Callithrix jacchus: one gene and its partners. The protein of the gene in region 3 purifies or fractionates together with the protein of the main gene of each other region. This does not show direct contact. Links are inferred from orthologs where the notes say so. Each region holds a gene or a part of one and is shown on either strand. Other genes may lie near its edges.

Region 1 (3,654 bases), on a different chromosome or scaffold from region 3:
CATTGTTCACTGTGGGAGACCTTGCAGCGGCTCCCTGGCCTTCCCGAGAAGGCCAGTCCTTTGGTATGCTGAAGGCTAGAAGGAACCTGTTTTTTTAAACCCTGGATTTGCAGCCCTGACCTTTCCAATTTCTGACCCTTCAACTGCGTGACAGTTCTCCACTGTACCTCATTTTCACAGTTATCTTGCTTTTTCTCCTTTCACTTTACCTCATCTTCTCTCCTATGCTCCTGCCATACACTTCCATGCATGCAGGCATGTACACACATAAACCCACGTAGAGTTCAGCTTCATCCATCGCAGATCTGTATTGTCTTCCTTTTAGCTTGTAGTGAACAGGACTCTGAACCAGGTGCCCGGCTTACCTGCCGCATCCTCCTTCACCTCTTCAAGACACCGCAGCTCAATCCTTGCCAGTCTGATGGAAGTAAGTGACCCTGATCTGAACCAACCAACAGTAGAAAGTGTGGCTCCCTTGCCCCTGTGGATTCTGCTCCTGCTTCCCCTGACTTCATCGCCTTCCCCAGACAAGCCTACAGTAGGAATCCGCTCCTCCTGTGACCGCCACCTGCTGGCTGCCTCCCAGAACCGCATCGTGGATGGAGCTGTGTTTGCTGTTCTCAAGGCTGTGTTTGTACTTGGTATGGGGGTAGAAAGGGAGTGGTGCCAGAAGTGTGTATAGGGTGGAGTGCCAGCTAAACTACAAGGGACAGTCTTTCTCCCTCCTGAAGGTGGTCTCTCTGACCTTTTGGGAGGAGGGGAGGGACAGAAGTATATTTCTGTCCCATAGGGCAGGATTTGGGGTGTTTCTGCCTCTGTGGGCCCAGGGTGGGTCTCCACACAGTGTTCCAATCTCATTCTGCCCTCCCTATCTCCCACCCGTGAACCACAGGGGATGCAGAACTGAAGGGTTCAGGCTTCACTGTGACAGGAGGAACAGAAGAACTTCCAGAGGAGGAGGGAGGAGGTGGCAGTGGCGGTCGGAGGCAGGGTGGCCGCAACATCTCTGTGGAGACAGCCAGTCTGGATGTCTATGCCAAGTACGTGCTACGCAGCATCTGCCAACAGGTCAGTCTCACCTTCCTCCCACACCTCCAAAATGCCTCTGTGTAATATAGTCCTGTTTCCAGCCCGTGATCATACCACCTCCCTACTATACATTGTGTCCCTTACCAATTCCAGCCCATCCCCCATATTGCTAACTCCCTCACTGGTTGCTCCCAGTCCCTGATTGTCAGCTTTCTCAGGAATGGGTAGGAGAACGTTGCCTTAAGTCACTGTGTGAGGACAGCAATGACCTGCAAGACCCAGTGTTGAGTAGTGCCCAGGCACAACGCCTCATGCAGCTCATCTGCTACCCACATCGACTCCTGGACAATGAGGATGGGGAAAACCCCCAGCGACAGCGCATAAAGCGCATTCTCCAGGTAGACCAAGGCCAAGGGGGCCATGGAGGAAGCAATGGGCCCAATCTGGCGAGAAACAATAGGAACCTTGAGAAAAGGAGAGGGAGAGTTAAGTAGAGAGGAAGACAAACAAGGATGTAGGGGAGAGGAGGGGTAGTGAGAGAAACAGCTCCAGCATGGGCTGAGGAGTAAGTCCAATATGGTCTAGACTCCAGAGTAAGAGTGTTATGTGAGGGCACAGCTATCTGGAGTGAATCTAGCTTATCAGTGGGAAGCATAGCATCTGGGGGGCCTAGGTGTGGGTCTTGTATATTTGGCATTTTGGCCATGGCTCAGGAACTGAATAGTAATAGCTACTAATTGCTGAGCACATGTTTTGTGCCAGGTACTGTGCTAGGCACCTGCACACATTTCCTCATTTAATCTTTATGACCCTATGAAGTAGGTGAGCCTCCCTGTTTGACTGATGAGGAAACTGAGGCTTGAAGAGGTTAAGTAACTTGTCCAAGGTCACATAGCTGATAGGTTTAGAGTCAGCCCAGACATGTCTGTGCACTTTTCACTTCACATTGCTCCACATCTTCAGATGACTGGAGAATGGAAAAATAAAGCCGTTGAGGAAAAGCTTAAGGAATAAGGTCTCTTCAGCCCAGAATAGATAGGGCTGAAGAGAGATTAGCTAACAGTAGCCTTCTAATCTCTACAGGACTTTGAGAGATTGTCTTATAAAGGTCCTGTCAGGGACTTTCAGCAGCTAGTCTAAAACAAGAGGAGCAGGCTTCAACTTTAACATCAAGGGTTTCAAGGTTAAGCATTAAGCAGAACTTCCTGATATAAAGGGATGGGAAAGATGTGAAATCTTTCCTGAACCATTTTAAAAATTGAGAAGATTTTCAGCTAGTTTGGACTAATGTATTTTTTCTTTTCTTTTCTTTTTTTTTTTTTTTTTTTGAGACAAGTCTTGTTCTTATCACCTAGACTGGAGTGCAGTGGCACAATCTCAGCTCACTGCAACCTCCACCTCCCAGGCGCAAGTGATTCTTCTACCTCAGCCTCCTGAGTAACGGGGATTACAGACACCCGCCACCATGCCTGGCTAATTTTTGTATTTTTAGTAGAGATGGGGTTTCACCATGTTGGCCAGGCTGGTCTTAAACTCCTGACCTCGGGCGATCCACCCACCTCAGCCTCCCTAAATGTGGTTGTTCTTAAAGATGGGCACATAGAGGTCTCTTTCAGACCTCCAGGAGTCTGATTCAATGTTGCAGGAGATCAGGAATTGGCCTCAGGTTGGTGGGTAGCTGGGGGTAACAGATGATGACTAGTCTGGATGTGGGACCTCTATCACAGAACTTGGACCAGTGGACCATGCGCCAGTCTTCCTTGGAGCTGCAGCTCATGATCAAGCAGACCCCCAACAATGTAAGTAGTACCTGGACCCTCCCTTTCCTGTGCTCACATTCAACTCCTTGTGTTAGGAAGGCAGTCCACCACAGAACCTAGATCTTACCCTTGGGCTCTTGAACTGAGAGATAAGAGGGGATGGGAAAATGGTGAACAAGTGGAGCTGTTGATAAGGGAAATGGGTTGAGAGTGTTGGAGCTCTGAGCTGTGGAGAAGCTTGGTGGTGGTGGTAGAGCCTGTTTCTGTGGCCACAGATGTAAGGATATATGTAAAAGAGAAGACAGTGAGGAATTAGAGAAATACGGAGGTACTAGAAGGCATGATTCCCAACAGATTTGGGTTCCTACCTCCCCATCAATCTCCACCAGTCCTATCCTCCCTCATCTCCCATCTCTCCTACCATCTGCTTTCCTTCACCCCTAGCTACCTATTTTAGCACTTCTGTGCCTTTCATCCTCCCCAGGAGATGAACTCCCTCTTGGAGAACATCGCCAAGGCCACAATCGAGGTTTTCCAACAGTCAGCAGAGACAGGGTCATCTTCCGGAAACACTGCAAGCAACATGCCCAGCAGCAGCAAGACCAAGCCTGTGCTCAGGTCAGATAGAAACATGTTGGGACCCATCCCCTTAGGAGTTTCTCTGCTGGTAGCATGTGTGATGTTAGCTGCATGGAGATGCCAGCATGTCTATCAGGGAAAGGAGAGGGTGGATTGTTCCAGCCTTGCCTGGTTCCCCTGTGACCCTGTGTCTGTTCTCCAGCTCTCTAGAGCGCTCTGGTGTATGGCTGGTAGCCCCTCTCATTGCTAAACTGCCCACCTCAGTCCAGGGACATGTGTTAAAGGC
Region 2 (3,654 bases), on a different chromosome or scaffold from region 3:
TCACCAGGTTTACTAAGTTCAGACAATCCTCAGCTCTCTGCCTTGTTGATGGGAAAAGCCAATAACAATGTGGGTACTGGAACCTGTGACAAAGTCAATAACATCCACCCAGCTGTTCATACAAAGACTGATAACTCTGTTGCCTCTTCACCATCTTCAGCCATTTCCACAGCAACACCTTCTCCAAAATCCACTGAGCAGACAACCACAAACAGTGTTACCAGCCTTAACAGCCCTCACAGTGGGCTACACACAATTAATGGAGAAGGGATGGAAGAATCTCAGAGCCCCATGAAAACAGATCTACTTCTAGTTAACCACAAACCTAGTCCTCAGATCATACCATCAGTGTCTGTGTCCATATATCCCAGCTCAGCAGAAGTTCTGAAGGCATGCAGGTTAGTGTGCAAAAGTTCGTCAAGTGAAAATGCTTGACTTACTGGCATGATAAGAATGCTGAAACATAATTTGGATCTTTTAAGCTATGGAAAGTAAGCAAAACATGCTGTAGTCATTCATCTAAAGTAAGAGTTTGACAGAAGCCTTGATATGCTTAGATGTTGAGGTCAAATTGATGTATCAGATTTGAGAAGTAATCCTGTAAATTGCTTTTTTTTTTTTTTAACCCCCTTTTTTTTTTAAATTGTACTTTAGGTTCTGGGGTACATGTGCAGATCATGCAGGATTGTTGCATAGGTACACACATGGCAATGTGGTTTGCTGCCTTCATGCCCCCGTCACCTACATATGGCATTTCTCCCCATGTTATCCCTCCCTGACCTCCCCCACATCTCGCTGTCCCTCCCTTGGCCCTACCCCCAACAGACCCCCCAGTGTGTGATGCTCCCCTCCCTGTGTCCATGTGTTCTCATTGTTCATCACCTGCCTATGAGTGAGAACATGTGGTGTTTGATTTTTTTTTGTTTTTGTGTCAGTTTGCTGAGAATTAGGTTTCCAGATTCATCCATGTCCCTACAGAGGACACAAACTCATCGTTTTTTATGGCTGCATAGTATTCCATGGTGTATATGTGCCACATTTTCCTTGTCTAGTCTATCATCAGTGGGCATTTGGGTTGGTTCCAGGTCTTTGCTATTGTAAACAGTGCTACTATGAACATATGTGTGCATGTGTCTTTATAATAGAATGATTTGTAATCCTTTGGATATATACCCAGTAATGGGATTGCTGGATCAAATGGAATTTGTATTTCTAGGTCCCTGAGGAAGCGCCACACTGTCTTCCACAATGGTTGAACTAGTTTACATTCCCACCAACAGTGTAAAAGTGTTCCTATTTCTCCACATCCTCTCCAGCATCTGTTGTCTCCAGATTTTTTTAATGATTGCTATTCTAACTGGCGTGAAGTGGTATCTCAATGTGGTTTTAATTTGCGTTTCTCTAATACTCAGTGATGATGAGCATTTTTTCATATGTTTGTTGGCCTCAAATGTCTTCTTTTGAAAAATATCTGTTCATATCCTCCTCCCACTTTTGGATGGGTTTGTTTTTTTCTTGTAAATCTGTTTTATTTCTTTGTAGATTCTGTATATTAGCCCTTTGTCAGATAGGTGGATTGCAAAAATTTTTTCCTATTCTGTTGGTTGCCAGTTCACTCTAATGATTGTTCCTTTTGCTGTACAGAAGCTCTGGAGGTTAATTAGGTCCTATTTGTCTATTTTGGCTTTCATTGCCAATGCTTCTGGTATTTTAGTCATGAAGTCCTTGCCTATGTCCTGAATGGTTTTGTCTAGGTTTTTTTTTTTTTTTTTTTTTTTTGAGACGGAGTTTCGCTCTTGTTACCCAGGCTGGAGTGCAATGGCGTGATCCGGCTCACCGCAACCTCCGCCTCCTGGGTTCAGGCAATTCTCCTGCCTCAGCCTCCTGAGTAGCTGGGATTACAGGCACGTGCCACCATGCCCAGCTAATTTTTTGTATTTTTAGTAGAGATGGGGTTTCACCATGTTGACCAGCATGGTCTCGATCTCTCGTGATCCACCCACCTTGGCCTCCCAAAGTGCTGGGATTACAGTCTTGAGCCACCGCGCCCGGCCTGTCTAGGTTTTCTTCTAGGGTTTTTATGGTGTTAGGTATTATGTTTAAATCTTTAATCCATCTGAAGTTAATTTTAGTGTAAGGTGTCAGGAAGGGGTCCAGTTTCAGCTTTCTGCACTGCTAGTCAGTTTTCCTAACACCATTTATTAAACAGGGAATCCTTTCCCCATTGCTTGTTTTTGTCAGGTTTGTCAAAGATCGGATGGTTGTAGATGTGTGGTGTTGCCTCCAAGGTCTCTATTCTGTTCCATTGGTTTATATATCTGTTTTGGTACCAGTACCATGCTGTTTTGATTACTGTAGCTTTGTAGTATAGTTTGAAATCAGGTAGCATGATGCCTCCACCTTTGTTCTTTTTGCTTAGAATTGTCTTGGCTATGTGGGCTCTCTTTTGGTTCCATATGAAGTTTAAGGTGGTTTTATCCAGTTCTTTGATGAAGGTCATTGGTAGCTTTATGGGGATAGCATTGAATCTAGAAAATACTTTGAGCAGTATGGCCATTTTCACGATATTGATTCTTCCTAATCATGAGCATGGAATGTTTTTCCATCTGTTTGTGTCCTCTCTCATTTTGTTGAGCAGTGGTTTGTAGTTCTCGAAGAGGTCCTTTGCATCCCTTGTTAGTTGTATTTCTAGGTATTTTATTCTCTTTGTAGCAATTGTGAATGGGATTTCACTCATGATTTGGCTCTCTGTTAGTCTGTTATTGTATATAGAAATGCTTGTGATTTTTGCACATTGATTTTGTATCCTGAGACTTTGCTGAAGTTGCTTATCAGTTTAAGGAGATTTTGGGCTGAGATGATGGGGTCTTCTGAATACACAATCATGTCTTCTGCAGATAGAGACAATTTGACTTCCTCTTTTCCTAATTGAATACCCTTTATTTTTTTGCTTGCCTAATTGCTCTGCCTAGAACTTCCAATACTATATTGAATAGGAATGGTGACAGAGGGTATCCTTGTCTACTGCCGGATTTCAAAGAGAATGCTTCCAGTTTTTCCCCATTCAGTATGATATTGGCTGTAGGGTTGTTGTAAATAGCTTTTATTATTTTGAGATACAGTCCATCAATACCTAGTTTATTGAGAGTTTTTAGCATAAAGGGCTGTTGAATTTTGTCAAGGGCCTTCTCTGCATCTGTTTAGATAATCATGTGGTTTTTGTCTTTGGTTCTGTTTATGTGGTGAATTATGTTTATAGGCTTGTGTATGTTGAACCAGTCTTGCATCCCTGGGATGAAGCCTACTTGATCGTGATGGATAAGTTTTTTTATGTGCTGTTGTATTTGGTTTGCCAGTATTTTATTGAAGATTTTTGCATCTATGTTCATCATAGATATTGGCCTGAAGTTTTCTTTTCTTGCTGAGTCTCCGCCGGGTTTTGGTATCAGGATGATTTTGGCTTCATAAAATGATTTGGGAAGTATTCCCTCTTTTTGTACTGTTTGGAATAGTTTCAGAAGGAATGGTACCAGCTCGTCTTTGTACGTCTGGTAGAATTCAGCTGTGAACCCATCTAGACCTGGACTTTTTTTGGTTGGTAGGCTATTAATTGCTGCCTCAACTTCAGCCCTTGTTACTGGTCTGTTCAAGGTT
Region 3 (2,865 bases):
TGGCTACAGAAGAGTCAGAAAATACCAGAAAAAATGGCTTATTTCCCTCTCAAACCTTGCTTTAGTCTGTCAAACTTTCTTAAAGGACAACATGTATTTACTTAGTCTTTGGAAATACGGGTTTGAGTCCTGGTGTTCTGCTAGTTATATGATTTGACAAATTGCCTAACCAGTCTCAGCTGCAGATTTTTGCTCGTCCATAAAATGGGTGATAATAGTGCCTACTTCTCAGGGATAGTGGGAGCTTGAGAGAGAATGAAGAGAAAGTATTTAGGGTAAACACTTAAAATGTGGTCAAAAATCTCAAAATGCATTTGTTACTTATAAGCCTTCTAGTTGTAATTATCACAAAAGTTTTGTGATTCTTAGAGGGAACCAGACTTCATATTTATACACCCCAATGTAATCTACAGAGATGAGCACAGTGGAGTGTCCTCCTTTGTAGTCTAGGAGAGAAATAAAATTTGCAGTTGCAGCACATTATCCTTACTTTCCTATATAAAATAGGCTTGAAGTATTGATTTCTATGTCACACAGAGGCAAAGAAACCAAGACTTTGCTGATTTAAATATTACAGACAAATCCTACTTATAATGAAGTATTATTACTTCAATAGAAGAAACAGACATACTAACATGAAAAAACACATTTTATTGCACTTAAGTTATAAGAAAATAAAATTTCTAAGTGAATCAAACCATAGACACAATCCCTTTAAAGGTTGTTTTCCTCCATCATGTCAGGTTGTTACATAACTAAAATTAACCAACTTGAATCTGATTGTTTTAAATCAGACTATAAATAAAACAAACAAAAAATAAACAGAAGGAGGAAAAAAAAGATCACCTAGGATACAGTGTTAAACCACTTTCACAGTTCAGCTTGAGTTGTGGCTCTTGGAGAATGAGGCAAACCATCTGACTTTTTCATTCGTTTTGTTTGTTTGCATGTGACGCCTTTACTATAAAAACTGAATAGTTTCTGCTTTGTCAGTTACTCAGAGCAATAAAACTGTAACAGTTGTTTTCCCAAATACTGTAAAACACTAAGACTGACCAGCAACTTTATTTTAATTTTGTGTTTTATATATTTTTAAAATATTTTGTCAGTTTTACGATGTACGTTCATCCATTCACCACAGCCCTCAAAAAGAAAAGTTTCTCCACAGAACAGGCAAGTAATAGCTCTGTTCCAAGGAATGTGTTTTAATTTTTGCCCAGATAAAAGAAAATAAGCTTTGCACACACTCTCAATTCTTTACTTGCAGGCAAACTTCACTCTTTATTATCTGAAACTCTTCCATTCTCAGCCTCTTAGAGGCACAGATGGCTCAAGTTTCAGTGGCAAAAAGTCTTTTTTCCGTAACCAAACTAGAGCAAATTTGGAATTCAGTCTGGGACTAAAACGTCACAGCAGAAAAAAAATAAAAAAAAATAATTTGCTTTTTTCTTTCTTTCATTTAGCAGCATAAATAAGTTTGGCCACTGGGAGTACAGTACAGGGGTGGGACAACAATCCCATATTTGAAGACCTACTTCTAGCACCAGCATCAAGAATTAAATCCATCTCAGGACTCACAGAACCCAGGACAACTTGCCACCTTTGAGCAACATATGCATTGAAGAATGTATATGGAAGCAACAGTAAATAGATTAACAGAGGCTAATACTGTGATTGATTGACATTGGCAATGGTTGGCAAAAAAAAAAAAAAAAAAAAAGCTTTTCATGATAACTGTACAGAAACAATTCACAGTAATTTTTTTTAAGCTTTTCCACTCCAGAAAAATGACTTTTTGTTGCAGATGCTCTCTAATTAGAAAGTCAACCAGTACGTGTTTTGATGTTATTGCAGTTCCTTTCTAGGTGTCAGTGGTAAAAGAACAGGCTAGCAGAATCTGTAATGATGTTTCAGTATTAACACTGCCCAATGACCACTGGAGAAGAAAATAAAGAAATAATTGCACCTGGTTTGATTTAGAAAGTCTCATTTTGCAAAGCTGCCCTCAGTCAAAAGTGAAGCCTTTTATGTGATGAGACAGCAGACGCCTCTCTTGTCAGTTATGGTTTGTCATCTCGTCTTCTCTTCCTTCTTAGTCTGTAGGTCTTTTCAATCTGTTGCCCCAAGCCAACATCCTGCACCACTGAGAACAAGGGATTTTTTTCTTTTTCTTTTCTTTTTTTCTTTTTTGCAGGGGGAAGGGCAGGGAGTATATTGTCTACACAATTGGACAAATTCATCTTTTCTGCTCTTCACTTCATGTCCACATCAAAGTCCAGCACCAGCAGCTTGGTTTCTTCAGTCCCATTCCGACTCCCAACTGCACACACCAGCTTTGTGTTTGAGGCTCTGATCCGCCACACAACTCCCCCACTCCCCCCACTCTCCAATGTGACTAGGTTTCGAATAAATTCACCCGTTTTCAAGTCCCATAGTTTTACAGTTCCATCATCTGAGCTGGTAATTACAAAGTTCTTGTTGAACTGTAAACAGGTCACAGCACTCTGATGCTTGTTGGGACCTAGACAAAAACCAAAAGAATTTAATTACTGGTTAGAAATAATGGCTATGGGTTAGTTACATTATAATTTGTAGACTTCTACTTTAGAGCATACAATAAATGCAACATTTGAAGTGATACTTATTTAGAAGCCTATGTCCTCAGTATTTTAGGATCAGCGTGGATGTAAGAAAATCTGGTAGTGATTTGTAACTGAAACATTAACTTTCAAGAGCTCTGTTGTCCAAGAAGCTTGGTTAGCTACCAGACAAACATCTAATTTTTGGCTGTGTGAAAGAGAGCATTCCTTGGTGAGGATGTAGCCAGTACAACTGTATGCTTTCTGCTGATGGACAAATAAGCAC

The links.
Region 1: the proteins of FBXW7 (region 3) and MED12 purify together in Homo sapiens (affinity purification with mass spectrometry; 3 studies listed by BioGRID and IntAct, with this or other methods). This does not show direct contact. The link is inferred for Callithrix jacchus from reciprocal best matches to the Homo sapiens genes FBXW7 and MED12.
Region 2: the proteins of FBXW7 (region 3) and KDM6A purify together in Homo sapiens (affinity purification with mass spectrometry; 3 studies listed by BioGRID and IntAct, with this or other methods). This does not show direct contact. The link is inferred for Callithrix jacchus from reciprocal best matches to the Homo sapiens genes FBXW7 and KDM6A.

Annotation. Positions count from the first base shown.
Region 1 is NC_133524.1:68,409,536-68,413,189, forward strand, and holds part of MED12 (mediator of RNA polymerase II transcription subunit 12), read left to right. Parts: intron 1-325; coding exon 326-427; intron 428-527; coding exon 528-641; intron 642-892; coding exon 893-1,068; intron 1,069-1,247; coding exon 1,248-1,427; intron 1,428-2,756; coding exon 2,757-2,828; intron 2,829-3,273; coding exon 3,274-3,407; intron 3,408-3,570; coding exon 3,571-3,654. UniProt on the Homo sapiens protein: Component of the Mediator complex, a coactivator involved in the regulated transcription of nearly all RNA polymerase II-dependent genes.
Region 2 is NC_133524.1:45,987,147-45,990,800, forward strand, and holds part of KDM6A (lysine-specific demethylase 6A), read left to right. Parts: coding exon 1-398; intron 399-3,654. UniProt on the Homo sapiens protein: Histone demethylase that specifically demethylates 'Lys-27' of histone H3, thereby playing a central role in histone code. Demethylates trimethylated and dimethylated but not monomethylated H3 'Lys-27'.
Region 3 is NC_133504.1:44,392,969-44,395,833, reverse strand, and holds the end of FBXW7 (F-box/WD repeat-containing protein 7), read right to left. Parts: intron 2,522-2,865; coding exon 2,253-2,521; 3' UTR 632-2,252; downstream 1-631. UniProt on the Homo sapiens protein: Substrate recognition component of a SCF (SKP1-CUL1-F-box protein) E3 ubiquitin-protein ligase complex which mediates the ubiquitination and subsequent proteasomal degradation of target proteins.